Linked DNA regions of Schizosaccharomyces pombe. The protein of the gene in region 3 purifies or fractionates together with the protein of the main gene of each other region. This does not show direct contact. Each region holds a gene or a part of one and is shown on either strand. Other genes may lie near its edges. The genes, in order: taf11, taf7, taf4 and taf3.

The links.
Region 1: the proteins of taf4 (region 3) and taf11 purify together in Schizosaccharomyces pombe (affinity purification with mass spectrometry, with the first as the bait; one study listed by BioGRID). This does not show direct contact.
Region 2: the proteins of taf4 (region 3) and taf7 purify together in Schizosaccharomyces pombe (affinity purification with mass spectrometry, with the first as the bait; one study listed by BioGRID). This does not show direct contact.
Region 4: the proteins of taf4 (region 3) and taf3 purify together in Schizosaccharomyces pombe (affinity purification with mass spectrometry, with the first as the bait; one study listed by BioGRID). This does not show direct contact.

Annotation. Positions count from the first base shown.
Region 1 is NC_003424.3:1,803,075-1,811,039, forward strand, and holds taf11 (transcription factor TFIID complex subunit Taf11), read right to left. Parts: upstream 1,385-7,965; 5' UTR 1,299-1,384; coding exon 699-1,298; 3' UTR 550-698; downstream 1-549. Other genes in the region: histone demethylase Jmj2, read right to left, coding at 1,576-3,723; bouquet formation protein Bqt2, read right to left, coding at 4,196-4,328, 4,409-4,568, 4,644-4,707; SPOM_SPAC1002.07C (N-acetyltransferase Ats1), read right to left, coding at 5,168-5,302, 5,354-5,464, 5,556-5,586, 5,633-5,667, 5,726-5,844, 6,092-6,167; RNA polymerase-specificity factor Mtf1, read right to left, coding at 6,949-7,965.
Region 2 is NC_003424.3:2,171,910-2,180,449, reverse strand, and holds taf7 (transcription factor TFIID complex subunit Taf7), read left to right. Parts: upstream 1-6,662; 5' UTR 6,663-6,697; coding exon 6,698-7,025; exon of another isoform or gene 7,026-7,066; coding exon 7,067-7,920; 3' UTR 7,921-8,040; downstream 8,041-8,540. Other genes in the region: mpd1 (thioredoxin family protein), read right to left, coding at 1-378; vta1 (Vts1 family protein), read left to right, coding at 968-1,070, 1,333-1,430, 1,563-1,757, 2,095-2,868; glycerol dehydrogenase Gld1, read left to right, coding at 4,090-5,442; mismatch repair ATPase msh1, read left to right, coding at 8,355-8,540. UniProt on the Schizosaccharomyces pombe protein: TAFs are components of the transcription factor IID (TFIID) complex that are essential for mediating regulation of RNA polymerase transcription. Also involved in the transport of mRNA from the nucleus to the cytoplasm.
Region 3 is NC_003424.3:879,622-888,328, forward strand, and holds taf4 (transcription factor TFIID complex subunit Taf4), read left to right. Parts: upstream 1-4,761; 5' UTR 4,762-4,823; coding exon 4,824-5,921; 3' UTR 5,922-6,273; downstream 6,274-8,707. Other genes in the region: SWI/SNF complex subunit Snf30, read right to left, coding at 1-214, 366-568; ubiquitin hydrolase Ubp7, read right to left, coding at 1,402-4,029; SWI/SNF and RSC complex subunit Ssr3, read right to left, coding at 6,274-7,551; proteasome regulatory subunit Rpn6, read left to right, coding at 8,040-8,215, 8,278-8,360, 8,406-8,707. UniProt on the Schizosaccharomyces pombe protein: Functions as a component of the DNA-binding general transcription factor complex TFIID. Binding of TFIID to a promoter (with or without TATA element) is the initial step in pre-initiation complex (PIC) formation.
Region 4 is NC_003424.3:2,585,348-2,592,905, forward strand, and holds taf3 (transcription factor TFIID complex subunit Taf3), read left to right. Parts: upstream 1-4,880; 5' UTR 4,881-4,965; coding exon 4,966-5,433; downstream 5,434-7,558. Other genes in the region: serine/threonine protein kinase Ppk15, read left to right, coding at 408-596, 644-2,059; SNARE protein Tlg2, read right to left, coding at 3,516-3,928, 3,981-4,473; pga3 (GPI-phospholipase A2 activity regulator), read left to right, coding at 6,066-7,061; ATP-dependent RNA helicase Rrp3, read right to left, coding at 7,300-7,558. UniProt on the Schizosaccharomyces pombe protein: Functions as a component of the DNA-binding general transcription factor complex TFIID. Binding of TFIID to a promoter (with or without TATA element) is the initial step in pre-initiation complex (PIC) formation.

The DNA.
Region 1 (7,965 bases), 920 kb from region 3:
AAGTCCAATGTATGACAACTTTTACCAGGCTATTCCCATACCAAGTAACATTGCTACTTAAAATAAGAGGTATGGTTAAAGAAAAAAAAAGGACTCATTAGAGACTACTTTATTGTATAGGAGTATAATGAAAAATATAAAACTGAATATCGTGAAGGATGGTTCAAACATTGCTGAGAATTACATCGCTATCGAGGTATAAACAAGCACAATTGTCAATAAAACAGCTTGAAAGATAAATATAAATGAGAAAGAAAGTATTTCAAACACGAAAAAATATAACGTTCATACCATTATTATTATTTTGCTGTACTTTCAGCAGTAGATTTTATTACGAAATATGCTTGGACAACAGCAATTAACATATTACTAATTACAAAGAGCAACAGCAAATGGCCTTTAGAAACATTCAATAAAGAAAGATCCATTAAATTTATATTAACATTCTGTAATTTTATCAACTATATTGTTCATTAACATACAGTTGTGACATATCACTAGCAATTGTTTGGCAGTTGTAGCTGGACAAAATAAAAATAATGTACAAATGATAGGGGTAATTTGTCTTCATTTTAATGTATGAAAAATGTAAATCCCTAACCCATGCTTTTAAAGAATAAGGCATATCATGAAAAAATTAGAAGGGAAGAAAAACCGGTGATAGATACACTAAGAGCCTAGGTATGTGTTTTCTAAATTCACCGAAACAAATGACTAACATGACGGCTCTGTGGATAAAGCCTCCGATTTTGACGTGATAATCTATACGCCTCTCGTAAATGATCAGGACTCAGTGGACCAGTATCCCCCCATTGATCTTGAATCTTTCGAGCTAATTCAACGATTTCTCCAACAAACACCTTTGAAAATCCTGAGATCACAATAGCAACATTGGGGGTTACACTTTGGTTTAAAATTTGGTTAGCCAATTTTTTAACATTGGTTTTATTTAAGTTAGCACGACGAAACACTTCGTATCTTTGCATTTGCTCTTCATCAAAACTCTCTAGAAGATATTTTGTGCGCAATTTTTCATTAGCTTCGTCGTCCGTTTCACCAGGTTTTCCAGCAACTTTTGAAATAGCAGCTGTACCAAAGTCATCCCTATCGTCTTCTTCCAGATCATTTTCTTCTTGCCGATTCCAATTCTCTTTTTCTTTTGATGAGGGAGCAGGCTCAGCAGCAGGCGATGCCGTATTTGCCTTTGCATGAGCTCCTGCTGTAGGAGAATTAGATTGATCGTAGCTCATCGATCGCTGAAATCGAGGTACTGAACTCGCAGAACCAGTTCGTTTCATATTTATCCCTTCTATCTTCAAAAAACTGAAGAGCTCTAAATGTTTAAAAATTGGGTTTGATTTTGTTATGCAAAGTGAGAATGTACAAGAAGTAAATTTCACAGGTTGGAAACTGCTTCATACATAAGCAAGTACACTACGCTTCCTTAAACGTACAATACTATGATTATAGTCAAATTGTTTACATTACATGAATCCAACGATGTTTGTAAATGACCTTGAAAATATAGGTTTATAAATTGCAAAATAATTGTTTTAGAAAAGAATAAATGTAACTTTAATAACTTAGCAACTTCTGTAACTCATTATCGTCGACTTTTAGGCGTAAGGTCTTATTGCTTAAATCGCACTTGCAAAGATATTCGATGTGTAATGGACATACAGTAATCGACTTGCAAGAACAAGCAACTTGAGAGAAGTATGAAAATGCTTTGCAATGCTGGCATTGCCAATTTTCGGCATCCTCCATTAATTCACGATAAAGTATTTCCTTTAAATCATAGCGTCCTCGTATCATGATACGTATACCTAATTCACGTTTGACAGCCTCATGCACCCAAGGCCTTAGCTCAGACACACTTATCTCTGACGCCGGATTTGTCGCTAAATTGTAAACCAACATATCATGTGAAAGTACAGGAGGTTTAAGAAGTGACTGATATTTCAAAACGCCATTCAAAGAGAATCCGTTTAGTAACCAATCTTTGGGAGCAAAATTCACTGCCTCATTAATGTTAAACCCATGATTAATTCCTGCGTGAAAGCTTTTTGGAAAGGTAATCACGAATTCATTAGGCCCCTGGTCGATGAAATAAACATCGACACCTCTTTTTTGTAGCTCATCAGGGTTGATCATTGTAGCTAATTGGTAAAGCAGATCTTTTTGTTTTTTTACCAAATCAGGAGCAATATCAAGAGCGGCGCGTTCAAACCTCTCGGCTTGATCACCTGGAATTCCATACCATAATTTTGTGTCTCCATAATGTTGATAATTTACGGAATAAGTATAGTTATCCTCGACATGCCAACAAAAAGTTGAAAAACACATTCCAACGTACAGCCACGGACAGGTTATACCTGAAACAGGATTATCTATATAGCTTAATAGAGAACCATTTGTGGATGCTATAACATTTAAATTCCATGTGTCCTTAGAGTAAGGATTCACTGGATTTTTGGCTAAACTAGGGAAGGCGCTGCCCTGATCAAGGGTTGATAAATCTGCACCGTATTCCACTTCAAGGCTTGTATTATTGTCTTTTACGAGTTTCCAATACTCTTTTTCAACAATATCCTCAGTTATCTCCGAGTCTTTAAATTTAGAAAAATAATTTTTCTTAAAATTGTCACAGTATTTTTCAAAGTTCGATAAAGTATAATAATTCCCTGTTTCAAACCCAAACTCATATGGATTAATTATACATTTAGTACAATACGCTTCTTTACACGTATCTTCGACTTCACAATTGACAGGTTTGTGACAATTGTCACATAAGTGGTTGTTATTCGTTGACAGAGAGCTCAATCGTCGCTTTTTATTATGTGAGTGATTATCATTTGATCCAAAATTATCGGCTGGCATATATTGTTGTTTAATCTGCTCATTTCTCTTGGATTCTTGGTTTTGAAGAATTCCTACGGACTCATTAGTTTCGGGGTTAAATTGTTTAGATGTCTTCTGATCTTTAATACTAATATTAGAATGTTCGTCTTTTGTAAAAAATTTAGGGAAGAGATCAGTTTCAAAGCATTGATCCTCAGAGGTCTGATATTTTCTGACGAAATCCTCAAATGGAAAAATATACCTTAAATACAAGTCACTTGCTTCCTTTAATGATGCATTAGTAAAAGGAATTGAAAGTTCTCGTAAAATCCTTTTCCATACATGAACTTTTAATTCCTTCTCACTTAGAGATGCATGAGAATCAATACAACGCATTAAGCTGTATAAGTCGATAGACGTATTGGAAATAAAAAATGATTCCGGGAGCTCCATGCCCAGATTGCAAAAAAAACGGTAAACGCGTTCATCGTAAGAGACTATTTCACGAAATCGAAGATCCATCATATGCAAATCCTGCCGCCGAGTACGGAAGGAAAACTTGTTCATGTCAAGTTGCATCGGTGGATTCCAACCAGCAGGAGGAACGATTTTTATGATACCATATTTTTCACCGATTGGAGCTATCTTATTAATATAACCGATAGAGTCCTGAAATTCCTCTTTATCAGGATAAAAAACGGGAGCAACTGGAAGTCCATGAATGGATTTGGAACGCTGTTTTCTTTGTCCGGTATTTTTTGACATAGAGGATAAGTTATTTCCCCGCGTATTCATCCCATGAGGTGCAGGTTTTAGTTTATCTGTAGCATGAGTGTATTGTACAAAAGATGGGGAAGTTTGATGAAAAGTAGACTTGCTCATGTTTCCTATGCAAATAAGTAGATAAATTAGTCCGAATGGTGAGCGATTCCAGAAAAAAAAAGTTATTATAAAAAGAATTAAAAAATAGAGAATAAAAAAGAAACGAAACGTAAATGAGAAATAATAAATGGAAACAACAGTTTTTAAACTCGGACTTAGATGAAGTAAGTTTTTTATGTTTATGCAATGTATACTTGTTCAATTGTCCATTGAAAAGACGTAAGTGTCTTTATGGGATATAAATAAAGAAATTAGGTAAAATTCGAAAATAATCTTAGGCTAATAGCATAAATAGGCATTAAATTAATATTCGTAACGTATGGTTAAGTGAAGGTTGTGACAACTTCAGTTGACGATTTTGAGAGCTAAAGGAACGATCATTAAATTATAAAGGATAGAAAAAGGAAAGGTATTTTTCACAATTAGCATAGAATTTACAATCGGAACAACGCCATATCAGCACCAAAGCATTTCAAGGTAATTCACCGTTTAGAAAAGAAAGCGTGGATGGCAGAGGCTGTAGATACACTGAACGTATTCTGTGATCAACATATAAAGGTTCCATCACGTTCAAATGAATGACAGGTTCAGAAACGTAACTTTTGCTAATAATGGTGGTTAGTACTTGCCTTGGTAAATGATAAGATAAACTATCAATGCAATATTTAGTAAATTTAATAAATACCTTCTGGAAACAGCTACTTGCTCCGCAATCCACCAAGGAGAACGACATTGAACTGATTTGTAATTTGGCAAGCGGACGTGCTTTCTTAGATGCATTGAAAATGCATAATCAAAATTTTCATAACCTTCTGCTAAAAATTTCGCTTCTCCGTTGTGTAATTCTATCTTTAGTAAGAACAACTGAACCATAAATCATTCGACAACAAACAAGTGCACATCAAACCTTTAAAACTTACGCCATAAAGCAATTAATGCAGAAGGTACGGTTTCATCAAAAAAGGCGCACTTTCCTTGAAACATTGACAGGCAAACTGTTGTAGGTAGTTGGTTTGTTTACAATTGCGCGCGACGCGTTTCGAAAAAGAAACACAATAAAAGATATTCAAGAATACTAACCAATACTTTCTTTCTATTTTTTAATACACAATAAGAAGCCGATTTGATGAATTGAAAGGAAAACGATCAAATTAGTTTTATAGGAATTAACATTAGAACAATATACCAGTTCTAATAATTTACTTTGCAAAAAAAAGGATTCTTTATTTTTTAATTTTAAAAAATGTAAGATGTAAATTGATATCGTATTTTTTGGTAAACGGGAAATAACCTAAAGACATTGAAATGACCGCTTTAAAACGAAACTACAAGATCCAGGATCTTTCAATCATAAAAAATTAATTTTCCTCTTTCCAGTTCAAGGTTTCAAAGGTATAACATATCATGCTTCAATTTTTTAGAGCGTTAAGTATTGGGTATGAGTTTAAAAGTTGCCGGGAAGTTTATCAGCAAGAGCCTTTAGGTTCTCGCCGGTGACTCTCATCATACTCCATCCTCCAACTTTTTGTGCTCCAGCCTTTTCATAGACTTCAATGGCTCTCTGGTTCCAATCAAGGACCTAGGGTATTAGTCAAGGTATAAAAAAAGAAATGGGTTATAAACAACTTACAACCCAGTCAAGACGTCTGCCACCAATTCTAAGTGATTCTCGTGCTAAATAAGACAGTAAGTAGCTTCCATATCCTTTTCCACGGAATTGGGGTCGAACATATAAGTCCTCCTAAGAAATTGAATGGTTAAAATCTTGCTATGAAATCAAAAGTTAATCCTTCAATAAAAAGGTTATGAAGGACAATATGATAAGAACATACTAAATAAATCCCCACTCTGCTAGTCCACGTGCTATTCAACGTCAGCTCATATATTTCAAAACGGAACTTTTCACTACCTAAAATTTAGGAAATATATAGCCATTCCTGCGGGCTGATGGCAATTATAGATTAGTAAAAAAGATCAAGCAAGTTTACTTTTTTTTACGAACCTGATCATTTTCTTCGATGAATACTCCATATGCCACAGGAGTAACCTCGTCAATAAATCCAAATGCAACTTCTAAATTCGGAATTGTCGCTTCCACTTGATCTTCACATTTTTCAAATTCTTCATAAACAAAATGTTAAAACCGGTTTTTAAATAGTAACACAAACTGATCTGATAGCATGCGGACAGAAGTAGAGATCGACCCTGCTGACGAAAACCATATATTCTCAAATCCATATAAAAAGCTTAAGAGTAATCTCCAATTCAATAAGAGAATCAGACCCTGTGAGTCTGGGATACTGGCAAAAGCTCTAGCCTTTTAATAGAATCTACACGACTTCGTCCTCTTGGTCATAACGGCGCTTACCTGCCAATTCTTTAATAAACTGATAAACGGTCGGAAGATCTTCTTTAATGACAGAGCGAATGCGAACTGAACCCATGTTTTGAATTAATTGGTTTACTTGGTGTGCAGTGCTAACAGTAAATAATATGCGTGGCCTAATGGTAGTTTATTGTCTAGCGCACTTTAAACTGATGAGATCTCATCATATTATTTTTGGAATGCCAAATACGGGTAGAAACTAATCTAGTATGTTCCATTTACCTTTTTATGTTTGGGAATGAATAATCCGCTTTTCTACTGAACGATTATTAAATACTACCTTGAAAGCTAAAGCAACTCATAATAATGAAACATTAATTCAGTAAACAATTTAATAAACAGCATGGTATAATAAAGAATATTATAATAGTTTTTCGAAGTTATGGTATTTGTATTAATTAACATCTAAAAAAGTTGAAAGATGTAAACTTCCATTTAAAATAGCTCAGTTAAATCCATATTGCATTTATGCACTTTCCAAAAAAAAAATGATACCTGAGACTATGAGAGACATAAAAGAACGTAAAACAAGCCTGAACGGAAGCTATCCACTTAAATTGAATAAATTAGTAATAGATTAAGCAAGCATAAGTTATTTTAAATATGGTGATTAGAATGAACGCGTGTCTCAACGCAAACAAATCCTTTAATGATGTAGCGAATATGGCACAGGCAAATAAATGAAATACAGTGGCCTCAGAACGCAATGAGTAGAACATGAAGTGGAGAAATGATAAAAAAGAGAGTGGTTTTAAAAAACCAAAATTACTGGATGCAAAGAAATGCGTGTATGAACAAAAACAATCAATACGTTTGTTTCCCCCAATTTTCTGTAAATTTTATGAATCTTCAATTATTGTACCCAAATGTAAATGATGTTTGAAAGGATATTTTTGTATAATTTTTGAAATGGTAAGAAAGTCGGCTGCACTCAATAGTCCAACGGGCATATCGATGTTAATCCCACATTGGGTGAAGGAGGGTAATAGAGTTTCCGCACCTGGGCCTAAATAATAAATGGATTTTGAAAGTGATGTTGCTTTACATGTCAACAGTATCCTAACAATGCTTTCAAACACTGGAATAGACAATTGTTTATCTTGTGGTTTGGAGCACATTTCAACCAAAGTAAGGTCCTCTTTATGCGGTTCACTAGTAATTGGCGTGGGTGAAACTAATAAAGGATTTGGAGAAATTTGATAATTCTCCTTGGCCTCTTTACTATACCCCATACATAATTTTTGCAATGTTGACTCGGAGGCAGCTAATACACGAGAGTCTGTAAAGGCCTCTCGGAAAACTGATGTCTTGGATCTTTTTGAAAATCCCCTACTTCCAAGAAGAGTAACAGTAGGAGAACAGGGCAACCATAGCAATACACGAACTCTTCCAAAAATGCCAAGCCAATCCCTTGCCGAGAGAAAGTCTAAAATTTGAGAAACAAATAATAACCCGGCATAACCATGAGGAAGATGAGCAAAAAATAAAAGTTCGCGATGTGGTGATAACTTCTGCTCCTCTTCTGTTTGAATACGAGGATCCAAAACCTTCGAAACGTACACATCTTCGTAAGTTTGCCAATAATAACCATCTTGATGCACCCACTTAATCCTTCCATCAGAAAGCGTACACAATTTTTGTAAAGGTTTGGAAAAAACTTCCCGTGATTCTAGCACAACGTGACTTTTAGGTTGGAAGTAATTGAACAGCGAAGTGGTAGTCACTCCCGGTCCCGGTGCCATTTCTAAAATAGTCATTTTCTCCGAGTTGTATTCCTTAAGCAGATTGCTTTTCACAAGCGCTTCATCCATCAAATTCTGATTCACAAGATACGATGACTTATACGAAGAACGACC
Region 2 (8,540 bases), 1.3 Mb from region 3:
GTTGTAATCAGTAGAGGAAAGAGAAGATCCTTTGGAAGATGGATAAACCAACTTTATAGTGGGAAAGCCCTGTACCTGGTATTGAGAGCAAACGGCCCTATTCTGATCAGCATCACAATCGACAGCAGTAACCGGCAAGAGTGAATGTAGATTGCTGGCTAATTTTTGGTAAGTAGGTACAAGCTTTTTGCAATAACCACACCACGGAGCATAAAAGACAACTAAAGATGGGCCCTTTGCTTTTACAAATTTACGAAAATTTTTGGAATTTAACTCAATCGTGTTGGATCCAAACATTGGTGAGTAGCCAAAGACGCCGGATACAAGGCTGAAGCAAGCCAAAAAGAGCGTAAATAAAGTTGGAATACGGAAGAGCATAATGATGTGTAGTTTGTCCAGCGTATTTTTAAGGGTAGTAAGGTGAATGAAAGAAAGGAAAATGAAAATCGAAGAAATAAAAAAAAATAGAAACCGTTTGGCGAAAATGAAATAAGAAATACGTCCTAGCTACAAATGATCGATGCAATGGGAAGTAGTTGGTGAATGGAAAAATCGAGAGGTTTACGGCGACAACCACTTTAGTGTGAGGTTTGAGTGAGCATATGTCACGAGAAAATTTAGAAGAAATAATAGGTTTTAGTCAATCAATGAGTTATAAGGCTTATTGAAATCATCATTTTGATATAGAATAGGTAGAGTATGTCAAGACACTAGAAAAATCTGAATAGCGGGGCACAAAAAATGCACGATGAAAACGATGCGACTTGATTCCCCTCAAATGAAAAGAAAGTGTTTGTACGTCAAAACTATTAGTACTAGAGTTTTTTGAATAATTGACTTGATGGTTTTAATACTTGAGTAGACCTAACCTTCATCTACCTTTTTATATCATGTAGCTGGTATCTGTAATCCACCAACTGTCAAACCAAAAGTACAGAAACTTGAAAGGAGAGATATTTGACAAAATATGATACAAATAGATACTATACCGAAGGAATTACAATCCATTCAACCGTTTGTGAGACGATTCAATGAACTTGAGGCACACAATCCTGTCATAGCTTATTGGAGTAAGTGTTTAGTAGCTAAGTGATGAATTTGTAATATGGAAGGGTGTATGAAAAAAAAAATTGGAGAAAGAAAAATATAAAATAATAAAAAAATAACTTAAACCTTTTTTCTCTCTTGTTTACGTTGATGAAGTTTTCATAGTCTACATTTCGCTAGAGGGAATACTACTTTCCATAATACACCCTATTATAAGCACAAAGGAATTTGTTTCATCATTCGAGATATTCATTTGCTTGATTCACTAACTTGTACTATTACTAGGTCTATACTGGGCAGCTCAAATGGCGCTTTCCAGCTCACACGGTGTTTCCAACGAATGCAAGGATTTCCTGCTGTCACTCATTGAGCATTTAGAAGATGTAAGTTTAGAAAACATCCTTTTCCTTTTTTTAAATGTTGGCGAGGGTTTTTTCTCTTTTTTTTTTTTTTTGGATTACGAGACCAACTATGTAAATGTTTCTGTGGTACTAACCGCTCTATGGCGTGTGTAGTTACGTAAAAATTTGGGCGAGAATGAGAATGTGAGTGACGAGACTAGTGCAAAGGCGTATGTTGAATCGTTTTCCCTAGAAGTTCTTGTCCAGGCCGAAAGAAATAGCAAAAACGGGAAACCAGATGTGCAAGCGTATTTGGCAGCCCGAGATTTTCTAGAGTTGTCGAGAATCTGGGGACCACCTACGGAACAGGTACGTGAGTCAAAAACAGCGAGAGCAAGTGAGACGGAATGAAAAAGAGTAACGAGCAGAACTTAGGAGAAAAAAAAAAGAAAACCACGATCAACAAAAATGAAAAAATGAAGGTTCTTTGGAAATTTTTTTATTTTTTATTTTTGTTTTGTCAAAAACAAAATCGTCTTTTCCAATTCACATTACCATGTGTTTTTTTTTTCGACTCGTTTCTTCTTTTGCCATTCTGAGGATTTCCTTCCTATCGGTATTTTTCTCTCTCGTTTGTATTATACAACGATGCTTTATGATGCTTATAACGATTTTTTGTTCCCTACTAACCCCTATTGCTACGTAGATTACCAAGTCAATCAAATTTTGCAAGTTACGTGCGCTCCAAGTCGCAAATCCCCAACGAAAGGCCAAAACACCCTCAAACCACGCGACCGAGGAGTTACAGCAATCTTCCACAAATTCCACAACCCTACCTACGCAAGAAGCCGCCGTTGAAACGAATGCCTCTGCTTCTCATGAAACATCTTTTGCTCTCCCCACTACATCTCCAGCAGCATCGCTCTCCATCTCTCCTACAAAGTCTGCAGCCGTATCTTCCGAGCCTAATGTAGAAGCAGACGTAAAATCGTTGTCTTCAACACCGGCTGCTCCACAACTAAATTCACCTTCCCATTCATATGAGCCTACCACGTTCCCCTCAACTACATCAATAACCGAAAATTTGCCAACAATAGATCCTACTCGTTCCACTCGCTCTTCCTCGCATATCCAAAGTTTATCTCCTGAGTCAAAGCAAACATCAGATGGGCATCGGCCTCCCTCCCCTACGTCAATCACCACCACCTCCACCTCCATCGATCCGTCAGTAGCATTTTCCAGCAAGTCAACTTTAGCCACAACAAGAACAAATGCCCCTCTATCAAGGCCATCTCAACCGACTAAAGCCTCCCCCTTGAACAAGTTTTCCGCCTTGGAGGCTATCCAATCTGCTCGAAGTCATGCACGCTATGCATACAGTGCATTAGACTACGAAGACACAACGACAGCCATTCATCATCTAAAGTCGGCACTAAAACTTTTGGAGGAAGAGGAGCAGGGAAATCATACTGCAGACTAGAGGAAGAATGCTGGGGCTGGAATGGAGGGGATCTCAATGAGACAATGGGAAAAGGTGGGGCAGATACCAGTAAAATTATCTATCCATCTTGGGGAGAAACAATCTAATTGTACCACTCTCCCCACTATTCGTCTCTCTTAATGTTTGTTTATTTGTTTGTTTTTTTTTTATCCACTTTTTTTTCTTCAAATGCTTTCTAATTGTAGCAGGACCCCGCCTTTCTCTCCACTCTTCCCATTTTCCCTCGCCGTTGAGTGGCACTGCTCATCCCTGTCTCCTCATTTTTTGTCGCGTCATTTTAGCGAGCGTTTATTAAGGAACTGGCGAATGACTGCTGTTGTATATATTTCCCCAGATTTTCAGCAAGTAAGCTTTTGTCTTGTACTGCATACCACGTTGTCTTTCTTGCCCCTATGACGCAGTTATGAGACCAACGAGTCATGGGTTTATCCTGCCTCATCTTTTGTTACGTTATTTTCCTGTCTGCTTGGGTTTGGCTTCCGCAGTGGGGAACTGGCAATTGCGGTGGATATGTGTGGTGTCATCGCCCTCTCATCAAGTTTATATGTAGAGGGGCAGCGCTGAATTCTTTGCTCTTGGTTATTGCTTTCGCAGTTTTCCATATTTCCCCCATCCATCCATCCATCCATCCACCTCTTCTCTTCTCTTCTTTTTTTAACAGAATTGCTTTTTCCATTGTAAAATAAAACCATAGCAAGTTTTCACTACCACTTGGGTTTTTTTTTCTTTTCTTTAATTATTTTTTTAATCAACTTTCGTTGCTTTAATTTTTAAATATTTTTTCTCTTTTCATTCTTCCTACTCTTCCCGTTTACCGTCGATCGGCTGATTCTAGTTTTGACAATCACCATTGACTACGTCGATCCCTTTTTTTTTGGCCAGCCGAGATCATATATCCCGTTCATTCTTGGAACTTTCGTGATCTTTCGACTGTCTATTGATTCCGCAAACAAGTATATATATACACATATAGTTGTTTTTTCTTTTTGGACCTCTGTTCCATTGCGTTTCTCTCCTTCTTAGTTACTTGTGCTTCTTTACCTATTTCCTTTTTCTTTTTAAATAAGGATTCTTCTGTATCGAAATAAATTTCAAGAAAGGTAAGAACCGTTCCACACGCCTATTCTTGTATTTCTCTTTTCTTCGATTTGATTCGATTTCTATTCGTAACGCTTAGCTAGTCTTTGAACTTCCTTCATAATGATTGGTCCTCGTCTTTGCGCTGCAACCCCTCGCTTCCCTCTCGTTTCCCTCGCCCACAGGAACTCTAAAGTATTTGCGCTCGCCTCTTCCAATGCCGTTGCACAACGTTGGGGCAAACGCTTTTATGCTCCTATTGAAACGGAGACGCCTCACAAAGTTGGTGTAGAGTTTGAAGAATCCAAAGATCGCATTTTCACCTCTCCTCAAAAGTATGTTCAGGGTCGTCATGCCTTCACTAGATCCTATATGTATGTCAAAAAATGGGCCACTAAATCAGCTGTCGTGCTTGCCGACCAGAACGTATGGAACATTTGTGCCAATAAAATTGTCGATTCTCTTTCTCAAAACGGAATGACTGTCACCAAACTGGTCTTTGGCGGCGAGGCAAGCTTGGTGGAACTGGATAAACTTCGCAAACAGTGCCCTGATGATACTCAAGTCATCATTGGAGTTGGTGGTGGTAAAACCATGGATTCCGCAAAGTATATTGCTCATTCCATGAATCTTCCATCCATCATTTGTCCTACTACTGCCTCCTCTGATGCCGCTACTTCCTCTCTTTCCGTCATTTACACTCCTGACGGTCAATTCCAAAAATACAGCTTTTACCCCCTTAATCCCAACCTCATTTTCATCGATACCGATGTGATTGTTCGCGCTCCCGTCCGCTTCCTTATTAGTGGCATTGGTGATGCTTTGTCCACCTGGGTGGAAACTGAATCCGTTATTCGCTCAAATTCCACTTCCTTTGCCGGAGGTGTGGCCTCCATTGCTGGCCGTTACATTGCCCGTGCTTGCAAAGACACTCTTGAAAAGTATGCCCTGAGCGCTATTCTTTCCAACACTCGCGGTGTTTGTACCGAGGCATTTGAGAACGTGGTCGAGGCCAACACATTGATGTCTGGTCTAGGCTTTGAAAACGGTGGTCTTGCTGCTGCTCATGCCATCCATAACGGTATGACCGCCATCCACGGTCCCGTTCATCGTTTAATGCATGGTGAAAAGGTTGCTTACGGTACCTTAGTTCAAGTTGTTTTGGAGGATTGGCCGTTGGAAGACTTCAATAATCTTGCTTCTTTTATGGCAAAATGTCATCTTCCCATTACCCTTGAGGAACTTGGTATTCCCAACGTAACCGATGAAGAGTTATTGATGGTAGGTAGAGCTACTTTGCGACCTGATGAGAGTATTCACAACATGTCAAAGAAGTTCAATCCATCTCAAATTGCTGACGCTATTAAAGCCGTTGACTCCTATTCACAAAAATGGCAAGAACAAACTGGATGGACCGAGCGTTTTAGATTACCCCCTTCTCGTCATAGTCCTCACTTGACCGACATTCATCCATAGGCATTATTTTTATCCCCAGCTTCAATTTTCCCTAGTAAATCCAAAAGAAGAAAAGAAATTTTTAAGCGGGTTTTCTTCATTGATCATTAATGTCCTGAGTGTTTTTTTTTCTATAGTAGTCTTTTATTTCGTGTGCTTCCTTTCCTCTTGGAACTTTTTTTACCTTTTTTCTTTCTTCCTTTTTTTTATTTTTTTAAAAAAGTTGTAAGCTTTTCCCGTTAATCTAGTGATTTAATGATCAACCTTTTCGGCCTACTCCAAAGTTTTTTACGCCCCTTATAACTTCATGAATAATTTGCTTTATTTTTGTTACGAATGAAAAAAATTGTTCCCCTTTTCAAATGAATGTTTTATCGTTGTTAGTTGTATTGTATTAAAGTTGTTCACCGTAATTGATCTATTTGTTACAATGCACATCATCTGTGTTGCTTCCTTTTTTTTTTTTTTTTTTTGCAATCGCTTTTTATTGTGATAGATTTCAAAAGTTTTAAATGTAATTACAATTAATAATGTTCCTATGTTAGAAAACTTTAAATAACTAAAGTGATTTGTTTTCACGTATTATACAATTGTCGCTAGTGGCCTTGTCAAACATTCGTTGTTATTATATTATATGCTAACTCAATATGATTAGTATGCTACAAATGGTATAATAAGTGAGTAAATCCCGGATTCCTAGCTACATTGAAAACCCTTTTTACCTTAACCTTTGCATCGATCAACAATTTCGCGCTTTATTTACATTGTTTACTGTGGGATAAATAAGTAGTGTTGTCAACAATACATTACTCAAGGATACACTACGTTGAGTATCACTATATGACACATGTCCTAATCATTCATCGTTGTATGAAACAGTATTGAGATTGACCTTAATAATAATCTATTAATATTTTTATTATCTGAATACTATAAATAGGGCTACTGCCGAACCTTGTTCCTCAGTTCAGTAGTTTAGCTATGTCGGTGATCGATACTAATGGACTTCTTATAGTAACAAATATACATTGTTAGTTAAACATACCACATACCGCTATACTGTAGGTCGCAAGAGAAACTCACCGCAGTTCTATGAATCGTTAAATAGATACCAAACTGCGTAGCTGACAGGTGTTTGCAGATAACGATTGTATTAAAAAAATGTTGTAAATCACTATGGCTCGTTAGTAGTAGATAACGAGACTCACTTGAAGGTTTAGCGACTTGCTAATCGAGCGTTTGCCAACGACAATTACTCAAAAGGCGGTTTTCGAAAATGGTTAAGCTAAAAATTCGTGCTGTTCAGCCTCCTCCAAATGATTCACGATCTAGCACTCCAGCCACTGGTCCTCCTCCCCCAATTCCTAAAATTAAGATCAAGACACGTGAACCTAAAGGCCCTCGATTGACAAAAATTCGGTTAAAAAGAGTTCGCGAACCTGGCTTAGGATATGATTCAGAAGCTTCTGACAGAGAAGAAGACACTTATATTGAAGAACAAATTATATTACGTCTTCCTCCTGGTGAAGATTGTGAGTATGTTCGAAAAGCAATTGAAAATAGGGAAGTGGGACGAGGTGCAGACATATGGGTGAAGTTCAAAGGTAATGACTTGGTTACACTATATTATTATTAACAGAGTTAGATCAAAGAAGAGCGGTTGTTCATGTTAATGGTCATTTGTACGCTGCGAAGTTAGTTGATTTGCCATGCATCATAGAATCTAATAAATCATTCGACAAAAAAGTTATCTTCAAGGCTGCTGACATCTGTCAAATGTTGATAGCTACAGAAAGAATCGAGCACGAAAATTCTGTTCTCAATACTCAGTTAAAGCAAGCTGATTACATTTATCCACATGGATTGACGACGCCAATGCATTGGGTGCGGCAGAAGCGATTTCGAAAACGTGTTTCGAACAGAACAATCGAAGCAGTTGAAAATGAGGTTGACCGATTGCTTGCAATGGATGAACGCGCTGAAAGTACATCGAATGAGTTGATTGATCAAGCACAATTGGCTCGTGACTCAAGCATCGCTCTTTCAGAGGATACATCGTTTGATGGAATGGCAGGACTTCGTGGTACCAGCATCGATCGGGACGACCAAAGCGTGCAAACTGATATGTTTGATGGTATGGATGAGGACGATTTGGCTGGACAGATTGAACAGGGTATGCTTGAGCTTAGTCAAGATACTCGGGAGTCAACAGCAGAACCTCGTGCCGCAGGTGAAGAATCTGCTAGTGAAGAAGAAGAAGAGGAGGAAGAAGAAGAAGAAGAGGAAAATGAAGCTGACGATGAGACTCGCGAAAATAAACGACAAAATAGACTTGTTCGTGAGTTTATTTCAGAGTTGGAGTCTTCTATTCAAAAACGTAGAAAGGATGCCGATGAAGCAACTAATCCCATTCTACGAAATCGTTTCCTTGCAGACGTTAATCGTATGGTGACCGAGTTAGAGTTAAAACGTACTCAACTTGTCGATAACCCTGAATAAATGTGTTGCGTAGTTACATCTTTTTACATTTTTTTTTAAAGAAAAAAGCATTTATTTCTATACGTTTTACCTTTTGCATATCAGCTACAATAATAATGAACATCGGTTATGGTTTGGATATATATACATATATTTATATTTTATATAGTAGATTGTAAATTGCATATTAAGTATTTTAGACACTGATAGCCAGAATTAGTTTTGTTAATGAAGTGTACCGAACTTTATTACAACAATCATTTTTCTGCATAAGCAATTCTATTTAAACGTATACATATATTTATTAATATACATTTATATGCTCATAAATAAATTTATATACTTGAAGATTACTATTTCTTCAACTTGACAATGATGCATTCATTGTCGCTTATAGTAACATAAACTTTTGCTAACTCTACAAAAAAACCCTTCCATTCGGTAACCTGAAAATTATGCCGACATGGAGGTATATTTTTTCATTAAGAAGTAAATCTTCTTTCACTAAAACCTGGGTACCGTTTACTCAAATTCGAAATTCTAGTAAATCCCCCAAAGTCGGCCAAAAGCCAATTTTACAAGGCGCGTTAGGACCTCCGTTAGATTTTATTAGACCGAAGGAAAAAGTAACTCTACCTCCT
Region 3 (8,707 bases):
GCCATTTGCATACGAAGACGAATCCCCATTTGAAGGAGGATACGATAGTGTAGATGTCTGAGCGATTTGAAAATATTGCCGGAGTTCTTTGTATAACGGCTCGAGTTGAGGTAGACTTTCAGGACACGAAAGTGGCGGAGTTAAAACTTGCATTTGACGGGGTGAAGCAATTGATACTACAAAAGCTAGATTAGCTTTGAGACGTTGTATATAACTAGTAAATGAATTAGTAACAACGAAAAAAATATAATGTAATAAAAGAGAGACAGTGCGAAGCGCAATTTGAGGAGCCGAAAATGGATACACACAATGAATATCCTTCCGCAGCTAAGTGTGCACGTAAGCAAAACATTTCAATCACTTACCTGTTGAAAAGTTCAGTAGATAAAGCCCGTTGCTCCAATGTCGAATTTTGCGCCGTCTTAATATGCTGAAGTTCTAAGCATTTCCATAAAATCAAACGATTAATTTCTAATAATTTGTTCGCCTTTTCAACTTCCATTGGATTAACCTGTCCGGTTGGGCTCGCGGAGTTTACTATCGGTGGACTTTTCGAAACAAAGCTCATTATTACAAACGTAGTTAACTTAAAAAGGAGATATAACTTAAATAACCAGTTTTTTTAAAAAATTTGTTGTAACTTCTTGTGTTTAAAACCCATTAACTAGGAGTAATGGTAATATATATATATATTTTTTTACAAATGCGAATTTTAGAGTCTCTGATGAATACTGTCGTTAAAAAGTATAAAACAACCTTTAAATGCTATATGGTAATAAACGTGAATGTAACAACACTATAACAATTCAATAGCGACTATATTCCAATAATGACAAGTCAGGTGTATAGTTTAAGCACCTCTAACCTCGGGCAAATAAATTTCTTATTTTACGGAACATTCAAATTCGACTGAATAAGATTGTTGATAACTTTTCAAATATATGCAATAGAATAAATAAATAATAATTATTTAGAGACTAAAGCTGATTTGCACGCTTCATTAACAGAGATAATATTTATACAATTCAATAACAACACTATTAGCGTATAAAAAATAAGTAAATTTAGATTTTTCTATAAATTTGCAATTATATAGACTATTGATAACGTAAAATAAATTATCCCATTTGCTTAATTAAGTAAAATGGTATTTTTTTAATTGAGGTACATCAAAAGAATGTGTTTGAATAATTATGGTTTCGTCCAAAATTCAGTATCTAGTTATGAGGTGAAATGACAAAGTAATTTTGAAATTCGATTAAGGTGAAGATAGATTGAGTTGAATAAGTCATTTTGGGCCAATCGTAAATTTCAAAATGAATACTTTGCATTTTAAAGATAAAAACCAGGGGTATTGAAAAATATTGTTAAGCTAAAATGAGGATTTAAAGCAATAGAAGTCTAAACACGTTCATAGAATAGCATATACGCTTCGACTTTTGAAACCTCGTCCCAGGATGATTCGCGTACAATATTGTCACTAATGTAAAGCCATCGTCTCTCGGGTATGCCAGCTTCAGAACGGAAATCCTTAGAATTCGTAGAAGGGGCACTGAGGTCTAAGAATTTATGAGACAATACGTAAGCAACATAATGACCATAATTCAGGGTGCCACTGTGCACAATGACCCCGAAAAGTCGATATCTAAAACTACTTGAAGCACGTAGGTGTGGCATAACGAACTCGTTTAAATCTAATTCTTGTTCAAACTCAATGAAATCGGAAATTTTTTTGGGATTGGCGTAACCATCGTGGGAAATCTCCTGGAAAAAACGCTTCAAATGGATAATAAAAACAGGAGGTAAAGGGTCATCTAATAACATCCGCTTGTAAGCATTTCTATAAACACTGTTATTAAACGAATATTTATCGTTATCCGACGTCAATCCTCCCTTAGCTGGAGAGCCAACTTCGTTAGGTTGATTACAGCAATTCTCGCAGGCAAACATGTTTTCACCACTTAACTCCTCAACATGAGTAAAGTTTTTGAGACAATCAATAAGTGTCTTAGGCTCCTCTATTATTGGGCTTGATAGTGAAGATTCTGAGAAAATTGAATTACTATTATCAAAATCTTGTTTCGAAATTTGCCCGCTAGAATTGACAGAGAGATCACTTAATCTTCGAGTCAGTTTTTGAAATGGAGACTGTTTCAAACTCTTGTCATTTTCACTAGCATGCCCACCAAGTAAATTTTCATTTAACGAAGAGGAATTAGTAGTCGGGGCTTGATCAGTGTCGTCGTTAGCATTGTCAACAACTATCTTTACAGACGATTTTTTTGGTGAACGACTAAATCGTGAACGGAGAGCACGATGGAATCGATGACGACGACTTACGCGGCTAGACGGGTAATGAATAGGTATGGATAAATCTTGAATAGGTTCAGGAGTGTTAGTAATTTCATTACAACTTTGGCACATCACAACGCTCGTTAAACGGCCTGTAAAAATTGACTTGATCACCAGGCTTGAAGAAAATTCATCCATAGTAGCTTTATCAAGCATCATATCATCTGAAGAAAGTTCACCAAGCCGTAGTATGTCTAGTGAACGCCTTTGAAATTGAGGAGATTTTAAAACTTCTTTTTTAGGACTAGCCTCCTCATGATTAGAACTATTAGATACATTGAAATGAGAATTAGGATCTTCAAAAGAATTGGTACCAGCGACCTCATGTTGACCCTTAAAAACTTGTTGTCCCTTGTCTGAACTGGAATCGAGAAGTTCTGACGATGGAAGGGATTTTGTAGACGAGGCCGCTAATGGCGATGAATTAGCAGGCAAGAAACTGTCATGCTGATGCTGTGAAGAGTCAGATGATTGCGACAACTCCTTCGAATAAGTAATATCTTCGGTCTCAGAACCCACTAATGAAGAAACGCTAACATAATCTTCGTTGTTCTGCTCGTTATCACTTGTATTGTGTGAATTTGGCGACAAAGAAGCATCTGTAACATTCACTTGTTTAAACGAAGTTAACGATTTAGAAAGCTGTTCATCATCTGTCAAACATGGACTAAGTTGAAGAGAACGTGATACACTATTAAGGTTAAATCTCAGTACACGAAATTCTTCAGAAATGAGATCGTCCAATAACAGCCTTAAAAGCTCGTGAGCATCCTGCTGGACGCTTTCGGAAAACTGGGGATGTAGTCTTCGAAATTCTCCGAAAAAAGTGGTAGGACGATATACGGAGATAGTGCCATCTGATTTATAAAAGGTCTCCAAAAATTTAATGAATGCAGATAAAAGAGAAGATTCAGGAGATTTCGTTAACTTTCGCACTATAACTGAGGAGTGGGAATATTGGAACGGGCTAATCACATCGTGTAAAGCCTCACAAGCACATAGGACTTGTAAAGTCGAATTAAAAAAGCATGTGGCACCCAAATTTTTTAAACCAGGACTGATAACTTTATATTTCTTCGAGCTTTTGCCAGAAGAATGCTTACTCTTTTTTTCCTTTTTAAAGTGTGACGAATTGGATTTTAAAACGTTGGGGGCCTTAGTTAACGATGAAACCAAGTTAGAGCAAATAAATTGTTGAACGTCCCGCACAACTAAATTCTTTTTATCAAAAATAACTATATCTGCATCACAACTGTAACAGTGACATTTCAAGGTTATAATGTTGACAAAAACGCAATGCTTCTTATTCTTTTCAAAATGTTTTCGGCTATGATCAGACTCATGATTGCAGCAGAAAAGGTAGCCACAATTAGCACAAAGTGTTAGTTCATAATCCTCCCTTTTTATTTTCTCCGTGGTGCATATAAAGCACAAATGTTTGCTCGGATCCCGAAGAGCACGAGCATTACCTTTGAGATGAGACAGCTTAACACCTTTTTTCAAATGAGAACATTCTTTGGGTGGTGTTGAAGGGGTTTTAACACTAGCAGCTAATGATTCCTTTTTCATTTGGTTAACTAATTCACTACTTGTCAGATTGTTAAGCCCATTCTTTATGGATGATGGATCATCAAATGGGTTTGTGGATGGCACAATTAAAGTGTTAGAATGAGGCATTATAATGCATATATGAAAACGGGACAAAAAAAAGACGATCAACAAGGAGGAAATCAATGGATAAATTAATGCAAGGAAAAAAGTAAAATAAAGAATGAAATGCGGATACTGAAGGAAACCTGTTTTTTTTCTAGAGAAACAACAACAATGGGCCGCAAGTTCGAACAGAACGGGCCAAAAAATTCAAAAGATAGGAAAGAAAATATGAGTTTCAGAAATAAATAGAATTTGCTCCCACAAAAATTAGCAAAAAGGCTATTTTTATTTAGCGGATTTGCAATTGTCGCCTTTAACAATCAAAATACAATCAACAATTATAAGCGTTGCTTCCGGTAAAGGAATGTTTCACTAACAATATTCTTACAAATGTAAAAACATTTGAAGATGTTTTGAAGACTTTGTCCGACGATAGTTAAGATTATCCTGAACCTTTAATCAGACTTCAATGGACAAGTCTATTAAGAACTGATTTCTTTTAACAAGTGTTTACACGCACAATTGAATCAGTGTACTATTTATGCTTATGGAAATCTTGGAATTACAATAGAGGTTGGGTATAAGTTTATCTGCTACAAGCTCGAAAGCGATCTTGAAAATAAAGATCGATATAAGCCTCTTAAAGAGCCTCTCGTTACCTTGCCCAATAAAAAATACAGTGTATTCGTTATAAATCGGTAATAGGGAAAGGTAAGGGTTTAATCTTAAGTTCCTAAACTTGCTAGTAAAGAACGTATTGATAACTACCAACATTTTTAATACAATATTAAGCATAGTTATTGTAGTAGTATTCTTTCATGGATTTAAATAATCCTCCTTCAAAACGCTTTGGAGATGACGATGATATTCCTGCTAACAAACGCCCCAAAAATGAAGAGTATCCAGAAATTCCAGGTTATTTAGGTAATCGAAAACCTTCTTATACCCAAAATCCTAATTCAGGGCCTGGAAAATTACATTATGCATCTCCACGACCAAATAATGTATCATCAAGCGTTGGAGTGGCAAGCGGCGGCGACAGGCAAGAGGCAGATCAGCTTCAGGATGCTCTTATTTCATGTGGTATTCAATTAAAAGAAGAGGAATTGAATTTGTCTACTTCCTTTTATGACCCTTCATCTCTAAATACATTCGCGCTTACTACCGAAGACCGTTCAAGAAAGTCAGACTTCTTAAATTCTTTTGTGTTGATGCAAACAGTTAGCAACATTGTAAACTTACATCGTTTAAAAAGCATGGATTCTGATATTCATGCTCTAATATCTATGGCAGTCCGTGATTATCTGGCAAATTTGTTGCAAAAAATGATTGTTGAAAGCCATCACCGGACTTCACAGTTGCATACTGATAATTACAAACAAGTTGACAACGTGCGCCAGACTCTTGCCAATTTTGCTTATAAGGAGTACGAAAGTGAGGAGAGAAGACGTACAGTATTGAATATTCGTAGAGCAGAGCATGAAGCTCGTTTGGCTGAACTTAATTCGGCTTCCACTAATGAAGAAGGATCGAGTCGACGTAGAAAAGAACAAAGCTCTTCCGCTGCAGCAAAAAATATATCTGAAGATGCGCAAAACAGAATGACTAACGCTACTGCAAGCATCATGGCTGGTAGTGCACTACCATCCGGTGGTAAAAAGTACTCGTGGATGGCAACTGATATGACTCCAATGACTCCTGCAGTTGGAGGTGGATTTGGTATTCGGAAAAAGGATTCTAATTCTCTTAAGCCCTCCTCCCGTGATGGTGTTTTGCCCTTACAACAAGAAGAAAAAGGTATAATTACTATTAGGGACGCATTAGCGGTTCTTGAAATGGATAGAGAAGGTGCTGGGCGTATTTTTGGTAGGGGTGCTAAGGCAATGATGCGTGCTTACATTAGGCTAAAAGATTAAACTTATGAATTTAATATGGCCTTAAAAAGTTATGACTAACTCATTTATTTATCTCGGGGATTCATTTATAAAACCCCTTCCTCCTATTTGAGTGGATTATTGTTCAGGACAACCGATGACTTTTTAAACACGATAATTGCATTAGGTCAAGTCAGGCGGAATACAATGTTTTGTTCTATCGAAATCAATTTTGGATTTCCTATGATGTATTTTTCTTAAATGAAACGAAGAATAAGCTCTTTTTTTTATTCTGGTTATATGTAATTTTTTTTTAATTTGTAAATAATATACACGTTTGTGACACACGCAGGAATATACCGTTGCTTTCTACTGGTAACGTAGTAATAGTCTATCACTTCTTAGCAGAAGCATTTAAAACGCTTTGCTGCTTTTTGCTATTTAGTAAATTAAGATAATGAAATGCACTCTCATGTACCCAGGGTTGTTGATAATAATCAGCACTTCTTTTTTCTGCATAATTCATATTTGTGCCATCCAAAACGATTTCTAAATCTCGGCTCTGGGATTCAATCCATTCGTTAATAAATTCAATTGGACTCTCCGAAAATTTCTTCATGAAATCATACTTCGACTGTGAGTAAGTGATAGCTTGAATTAACTCGGTAAGCTTATCGTCAATACTTCTGATTTTATCTTGCGACATCATCGTAGCAAGGAAAGAGCGAATTTGGCTGTGCCTAGGATCTTCCGTGTTGATACGGATATCAAAAATTGTAACTTTTTCAACAGTATGTTCACTGACATTAATGGTATACGGTATAACAATGGGATCAATAGGTTCGAGAAATCTATTCATAAGCTCAGGAATTCTAGGGAAGTAAAGACGATCTGCTTCAAATAAATCCCTTAATGCCTTATCACAGTTAATTAATCTTTTCTCCTCCATGTCTTGCAAGCGATGGAACTTGATGTATTGCCAAAGGTAGCTAACGATGTCAGGACGAGTGCCCTCACGAATACCCAGTATATTAGCAAAGGCTTTTGAAAGTTTATATCGTTCAGGATGCTCTTCAGGGTATAACATAATTTTGACATCTACGGATTGGTCGCCTTTTCTCGTAACGGTAATGCCGTTAGATGTATTAGAGTTATCCGGAAGTTTATTCCATTCAACATAATTACCACTAGGATAGAGATCATCTGATCGTAAAATTTGGATAGCAATTTTACGGAAAAAGTTGGTGAAAGGTGCTAATTCAAAAGCTTTATCGTCTTCGTCGTCAGGATTAACGAGTAGTCTACCTTCAATATGGAGAGTCCATTCAGGTATGGGAAGGGAGTTAATGTCGCCAGAATTATTCTCTTGATTTTCTCCCTTTTGTTGCCATGATTGATTCGCAACAGTGGAATGTATGTACATACGAAGAATCCTGGTTTTGTGAGAGTTTCGACTTAAGGAATCCTGTAAATCAAATCGTTTCCGAACGATTAATGAATCCAATTTTCTTTCTAAATCTTGAAGAGCAATATAATCTTCTGCTTCTGGGATTTTTTCAAGCAATGAGTCTGGAATTTCTCTTTCAATAATTCTCATACTCTTCTTCAACTCTGCGTCTTCTCCGTTACCGCTTTGTACACCATTCTCTGGTAAACGGCTATTATTAGACATGATAAGCTGTCCTTATTCAAGCTCCTCTCAAATATGCGGCAATCCGAACCGATCAATAATCTTCGATATTTGGTGGACGTGAAGTGGTGGACCCAAATACCATTTAGTATCTATCTGCTTCCAACAGCTGAGCACCGTTAACTGAAATACTAGGAATTACATATCATTTCTTTTGTATATGAATTATTCAATTGTATCTCGATTTTCGAGCGTTGTCGATATAAAAGCAGTTAGTATATCGAAACCATAAGATGCTTTGCTGATCACTCATTCACGACGCTAACAAGTTTATCAACGTATTTTTCACTAAAAAAAAAACAATCATTTCTATAATAATTAGTTATTAACTTTACTTTGAGTATAAACACATACATATACACACCTGACTAACTTGCTGTAATATAAAGTTACAATGTTACCCATCCAGCAGTAGCTTCATCTCTCGCATAATTCCATGCTGGAAGCACTTTGAAATAACCATCATCATCATGTCTAGCAAATCTAGCCTTGAATTAGCAAACAATGCAGTAAAAAGCAACGATATCGAAAAGGCGATTGATTTGTATAAAGAAGTTCTTAATAAAGGAGTTAGTAAAGACGAAAAAGTTGCGAATGAACAGGAACAAGCTCTCACTAACTTGAGCGATTTATACGTTCGTGAAAAGTATGTAAATTCTAAATAAAGGAACAGTTATGCCTCAAGATAACTAACATTTATTTCTCTAGTCGCCATAATGATTTGGCTCAGTTGGTTCAACAAAGTCGTCCGCTGATGGCTAACTTCTCGAAAGCCAAGTCTGCTAAAATTGGTAAGTATCAATGTCTATTGTGTTAACAACCTAACACCATTTTAGTCCGAACATTAATTGATAAATTCTCTGGCGAAAAGAAGTCTTTGCCTTTACAAATCGAAGTTGCTAACGATTGTATCAAATGGGCTATTAAAGAAAAGCGTACATTTTTGCGTCAAGCTTTAGAGACGAAATTAATTTCCTTATATTATGACAACTCATCTTACACTGATGCCATCAATCTCATTAATACTCTTTTGTCAGAGCTCAAACGAATGGACGACAAAATGCTTTTGACCGAAGTTCATTTGTTGGAATCGAAAGTTTATCACGCAATTAGAAATATACCAAAAGCTCGTGCTTCA
Region 4 (7,558 bases), 1.7 Mb from region 3:
ACACGCTATAAACAAGAAAATTAGAAGATTCCTCCAAATTCATATTTTAAGCTTCATATCCACAAGTGTTTCCCTTTGTTCCAGATCGAGATTATCGTAAGCGAAACTAGCTCTTTGTCAGTTGTTCCATTAAATTGATTAGCCGGTTGGTGCGTTCATTTCAAACTCTTTGACTTTTTTCCTTTAAAGCACTTCTTTTTTAGATTCCTTTGGTTAATCTGTCAACTACTACTTTGTAAATAGTATAACTTGTGGTTCCTTTTTGCACTGTTGTGCATCGACTCACGTTCCAAGAGATCACTATTTTACGTTACTTTAAAGTGATTCGAGTGTGAATGAAGGCACTCGTATTCTGCCTATACTGATATATTCTTTGCAATACTTTACAAAAAGGCGTCTCTATTCATATGGATTCGGATTCGCCCATTCTTCCATTATCGAACAATCCTCCTGCTGCGAGGACTCATGATCACTCGCAGCGTAATAATCATGCTCGTCATGTCTCGTCTTCTGGAACAACTTTGTTTGCTCCTGTCAAACCGGCAACCAAGAAATACAATTACAGAAGGGTGTCTCCCCATGGAAGCTATATTAGCGTACGAAATTTTTTACTTGCTCTGCATTTTACTAATTAAACATATAGCCCTTAGAAGCAATGACTGTGAAACTAGCTGATACATATTCAATTTGTAATCCAAAATTCCAGTTTTCTTCCGAACAAAACCCTCGGAGACCACTCACCAAACCCAGTGAAGGAGTTCACAACCATGGTTTTGATAACGTCAATCATGATTATGTATTGTATGTTAACGATTTGCTAGGAACGGATGAAGGCCGTAAATATTTGATTCTCGACACCCTGGGGCATGGCACATTTGGTCAAGTTGCTAGATGCCAAGATCTTAAAACCCAACAAATTGTAGCTATTAAAGTTATCAAAAATAAGCCGGCATTTTATAACCAATGTGTGATGGAGGTTTCTATACTAGAGCTCCTTAACAATAAGTACGATCCAGAAGACAAGCGCCATTTAATTCGTTTATATGATCAATTTATGCATAAAAATCATTTGTGTCTCGTTTTTGAGTTACTCAGTATTAATCTTTATGAGCTTATCAAGCAAAATCAGTTCCGTGGTTTACATTTAAGTCTTGTTCGTTCTTTCGCAACGCAACTTCTATCGTGCACATCTCTCCTCAAACAAGCTCGAATCATACATTGTGATCTAAAGCCGGAAAATATCCTGTTGCAGGATTTATCATCACCGATTGTGAAAGTGATAGATTTTGGTAGTGCTTGTCACGAACGCCAAACAGTTTATACCTATATTCAATCGCGATTCTATCGCAGTCCGGAAGTAATTTTAGGACTACATTATAACTGTGGAATTGATATGTGGTCTTTGGGATGCATTTTAGCTGAACTATTCTTAGGTCTTCCCTTGTTCCCTGGAAATTCCGAATATAATCAATTATGTCGGATTGTTGACATGCTTGGTAATCCTCCCACTTGGATGTTAGAAATGGGTAAAAATTCGAAGAAATATTACAATTCTGGTTTTGTAAACGGTAGAAAAACTTATGAGCTTAAATCGATCGAACAGTTTTCTATCGAAAACAACAAAACAGAGCAACCTGGAAAACAATATTTTGGTGAAAAGACACTCGATGCTATTGTTTTAAATTATCCTCGCCGAAAAACCACACCTAAGCTTACTCCTGAAGAACATGAAGAGAGACTTTGTTTCATCGATTTCATAAAGCAGTTTTTAGAGTTAAATCCTTTGAAGAGATGGACTCCTGACCAGGCGAAAAATCATCCTTTTATCACAGGTGCCTCTTTCAGTCAATACTGCATTGACAAACAAAAACCACTGCTTACAACTCAAAGAACGAGGAACCGTTCTCATACTATTGGAAATCAAGCGGTGGTTCCTCCTTCCTTACAGCGTGCAAGCACTTATGTTTCCAACGAACCTGAAGAATTTGTACATACTCGACCGCTGCCTCAATATTATCCTCCCGCTAATGAGAACGAAAATGTAGATGAATTTTTCTAATGTCATATTTTACGTATAGAAACATTCAAATTTATTTAAAATATTTAATAGGCATGATCCATTCCAAATTTTTTTTTTATGTTGTACCAATTTTCTAATAGCTTTCGTAAAACGTTTTCAATTTTCATAAAGCATTCAAACTTTTGATGATATATACATACTACGAATATTTTCAAAGTTCCTTCGAGGCTTCAATATGCAGTTTTCAATAGTAAATAGTATAAAGCATTTACAAATTTAACGCTATATTTAGCGCTACGGTAAATACTCTATGTAGAGAGGTTTTATACTTTTATGTAGTAGACATTCACAAATCGCCAAAATGAAATCAAGTTCACTTGAAAATGGGACTCTTGCTAATGCGGGTGTTTACGAAGATGATCTAGATAGCGACGAAGAATTGGTCTCAGAAGAAGAATTTGAAAACTTTAATAATGAAGATTCAGAAGACGATGAAGACTCAAACAACGAATCAAAAACAGCTAAAAGTCGTATGTTAAAAATTCTTTTATTTTCTTAATTAATATTTACTCACAAATTTGAAGAGTTAGCTGAGATTCCGTTTGATACATTGTTGAATGCTCAAAGGGACCTGCTTAAAGAACAGCAAAAAACAAAGATAATGACAGAAAAAATATGAAACATACTGAGAAAGTTGACAAAAAATTTTTGGCGAAAGAAAGAAACACGCCCCTCAAGAATTGTCAAGTAAAAAACCAGTTTCTCGTTTTCGCGAAGTAATATCTGAACCAAAAAAATTTACTCGTGATCCCAGATTTGACTCTTTATCGGGAAACTTAAGTAAAGATAAAGTGAAAAAAAATTACGGCTTTTTGAATGAATACCGAGTATCGGAAATCCAGCAATTAAGAGATGAATTGAAGATTTGCAAAGATCAAGAACGGGCGGAGAGTATTCGACAAACTTTAAAGTCTTTACTTTCTAAGATGGAGAGACATCTCGAGGAGGAAAGGGCCGAACGTGTCATGCATGAATTCCGTGCTCAAGAAAAAGAAAGGGTTAAAGAAGGGAAGAAACCGTTTTATTTGAAAAGGAACGAACAAAAGAAGTTAATACAGATGGATAAATATAAATCTATGGAAGGGACAAAGGCTTTGGATAAATACATTGAGAAAAAGAGAAGAAGACGCGCTCAGAAAGAGAAAAAACATCTTCCAAGAGCTAGACCGTCTGCGAACTCACAGAATAAGTGAACTAAATTGTATCATTATTGGATTTGGGAAAATTTTTATTAATCATTTCACTATAAAAAATGATGTTTTATTGTACATAAATTTAATCTGTATGTAAAACTGTTGTCTTTTAATAAAGAAAGAAACAAACCTGATTTATTTAAGCATAAATTAAAAAAAGAAAACCTTCTTTTTCGTAGAAAATATTAAATTGGTCATTCATGACTAGCAGCATGGTATTAAAGTGAAATAGGGTAAATGAATTACCGAAGCAGTTTAATTGCCAAAATGACAATTAAAGCAACGATCAGAAGTATTAGAAAACATATAAACCGAAGCCGCCCGGTATTTTTTTGGTGAGACTCCGCTTTTATTAACTCCTTTTCGGCAGATTTTGCATGAACCTGTGTTTGTTCAATATTGAAATCAATACGATCTACTAATGCTCCTTGTTCAATAACAAGCACTTGTAAGTCTTGAAACATCTGCGCTAGCTCAATAATGCCTTCAGCGATCTTGGCAACAGCTCTTTCATGTCGTATAGCTTGTTCGTCTTCTCCTTGTTCTTCCATTAAGGCAACTTGTTGTATAGTAGATTGTGAAATTGCAACGTCGGATACCGTCTCGTCGAGCTTTGACTCTACAGGAGATATGTTGGCGTTTAAACCACGAAGTTCTAAAAAATTTGGGGTCAGTACATTTGTTAAGGAGAACGCGGGATAACATACTCTTCAAATAAGTAGATTGCTTTTTTCTAAACTGTGCACTTTCAGTTTGGATTCTGCTAGCTAAATTTGATAAGAAATTTTTAGCCATTAGAGCTTCTGAGCCTGTTGCAGAGTTTGTTTGAGCTTTGGTAACTTGGAGAAGCTTCTGACACCTTTGGAAATCTTGTGTAATTTGAATGGTTAATCTCTGTATTTCATTCTCTTGCTCAGTTTTGTCGGAAAAGCTAGGTAATACATGTTTAGCATATTGCTTATCAAGCAAATTAATATTTCTTCGTGTATTTAACAGCAGACTGTCTATTTCTCCTTCAACTGTTACCCATCTAGGGGCAAGCATGTCCATCTCTATTACAGTGTTATCTTTATTATCTTTATGGACTAAACTCTGCCGTTCTTCTTTAGGGTCCCAACCCGACAATTCCAATCGTTGCCCATGATGAGAGTAGGATTGTCGAAAAGTAATGTACAAACCCGTACGGTCTCGATAGGCCATTAGATAAGAAACAGGAAGAAAGAAATATAGTAGAGTAAGTAATAAAACTGTTTTCCACCTGTAGGCACACTAATTTCGAAAACACCTTTTTTATAGTGGTTCTTCCCAGCGTGAGAAATAAATGAAATTATTTCAGTATTCAAACTCAGTTTCTATTGTGACGACTTCAGTCTTATTTCCAGCATAAAGGCTTCTTAAACACTTGGTTTGTAATTAAATTGATACTTGAGTTTTTGTGCTCAATGGGTCTCAATCGATGTGATAATTTACAAATACAATATCGATGTTGTGTGAACCATTAAATCTATTTAAAATTTGTAGTATGTATCATTATGCAAGACTAACGAGGCGCTGTGTCTCCACTTTATTCAATTCCATGAGCTAGCTTTAAAGGTTGGAAGTCCCCTGCAACATAAAAACTATACTGTGAGCTGGTATAGACATTACTTGACTTTTAATAAGTCTATCGTTCGATTTATCTAGTTATCGGAGATGGAAGAAACACAAATTGACGAGCTGTATTTCTCGCTAATGAGGATTTTCTGTTCTCAGACACTTCGCGCAGCTGGCATTGACCGAACGAAGGTTTCATTATTAAACTCTTTTACTGATATTACTATCCGGTATATTAGACTTCTTTCAGAAACCGCTATGGCAAAAGCTGAAGTTGGCAGGAGGAGCTGTTGCGATTTGGGCGATCTGCGTCTTGCAATGGAAGAAATTGGTTTGTTAAATGGCTCTGAAGAAGATGTTAAAACGTTAGTAGAATGGTTTAATGGTCCACAGGTTGCGGAACTTCGTCGGGTATCTGGATTTGTTCAAGACAGTGAAACGCAAGTCAAACCTAAAGACTGGCTTACAAGCTTAATTCAAAAACAGATTCGTGTCAGCGGCCCTGAAAGATTTTATGAGACTGTATTTTCTGCTTCTAACGAAGAAGAAGACGTCAAAGATAGTTAACAAAGCCTTCTGCTAAGTTCAAGTTGATCCCATGTTTATCTAGAAGGCGTTCTAATGGCGTCGCATAAAAAGGTTATTAGTTTAATTGTTTCAGGATTAAACTAAAATTTTCTTTTATTTCTTGCAGAATTAGTTTATTACTTTACTGATCGTTTATCACTTGTTATGCCTATAAGATGACTATTTAGATTCGCTATACATGTGTCGTACGTGAAGTCTTATTCGATTGCTAAAGATTCATACAAGTCAAGCTGGTTAAAATTAATCATTATTCTTATTTATTTTTCTAAATTGTTATGCCAGAGCTGCCGAGTGTCTTACATCTTCCTGGCATTTTAACTAACAACGCGATTTTCAAAAAAAAAAGGCATTTTTTGTGAGTGATATCCACCGTTTTCTCTACAATTTTAAGTGATGAAATTTGTTTAAACAAGCTTGAAATAAGCAATTCATTCATTTAGATTTATTTTGTTGAGAACGTCGAGTTACATTGTTACTCCTTATGGGTGAATATATCTATTCAACCGGTCTGTGCTCAAAGCACTCCTGTCCATGACCTCCATGTACTAGCTGTTACCTGAAGAACCTGATTATAAACTTTTCGTTTTTGGTATACTATTTATTCTATTGTTATGAGAGTTTTGAGGAACTTTACAATCTTTTTTCTTTTCACTGCATTAAGCCTTTTCCGGCAGATTTCAGCTAGTGCAGGAGACCTACATCCCGTATACGTTTCTTGTGTAAATAGGTGCATCGAAAATAAATGTCACGGAAACCCATCAGATACGTCAAAACTTCCGCTGGACTTGAAGCTCTTTCGATGGGATTGCGGTAGTAACTGCGGATATGAATGTGAAATAACTGCGGAAAATTATTTTGCCGCTCATAATTTACCTTCGCAACAATACCATGGAAAATGGTACTTTATACGAGTTTTTGGTATTCAAGAGCTTTTCAGTGTCTTCTTTTCAATGCTCAACTTTATGATCCATTACAATGGTTACCATATAATGCGCAGGTGTATTCCAGATGAGCATCCAGCTAAGCGATTGTGCTTAAGCTGGGCTATTGTAGGAATGAATGCTTGGGTTTGGAGCAGTGTATTTCACATTCGTGATACGCCTATTACCGAAAAACTCGATTATTTCTCTGCCGGCGCTTTTGTTCTTTTTGGTTCTTATTGTACCTTAATATTGATGCTGAGACTGGATCAATTACCGGGGGGAAAACTTTTGTGTTGGATAATAGGCGTTATCTTCATAGCTGCCTTTATTGCCCATGTAAGTTATCTTTCTTTTTATTCCTTCGATTATGGTTATAATATGAAAGCAAACGTCGCAGTAGGTTTAGTCCAAAATATACTGTGGTATTACTACTCCTGGTCAAATCGAAATTCTGGACTTTACTGGACTAGATGGCCAGCGTACATTGTTACTAGTCTAATGTTGGCTACAAGCTTGGAACTCTTTGACTTCAGCCCTATTGCAAATCTTATAGATGCTCATGCTCTTTGGCACTTGTCCACTGTTCCAATTACCCATTACTTGTATGGGTTTGTAGTTAGGAAATGCTCATATGATCTAACCAAAGGAACCTTTAAAATTAAAGCCTATGATAGCAGTCGATGATTATTTTATCTTTTCTCTATTAAGAACTACAAGCTTTTTCTGTACACATATCTTAATGATTATTCCCTTTTTGGCTTTCCTCGTTTTAAAGTATTGTTATTATTAATTAATTCAAAACCACTTCCCTAACAGTAGGTTTTAAAGACCTAGTTTTTTCCCAAAAATTTTGCCTTTCATCTATAGAATTTAGTAATATTTATATTTTATAAATACAATAACCCTTTTTCCGCTCTATTTATTAATAGATTTGTTCTTCACGATCAAGATCATCACGTTTGCGCTTCGTGTGCAATTTTCCCTTTGATTTTCTCCTATCGTGAATCTCCTTCATTTGAATAATAGCTTCACGTTGAGCTTCTCCAACACGTTCAGATAAAAGAAATACACCCTCCTTGTCAATTTCATATTCCTGCATTTTTTTGCCAATTGTAGCTTCAATTCGAAGAAAAGGTTCTAAATCATACTGAGTAACCAATGCAATAGATTTACCTGCCCGA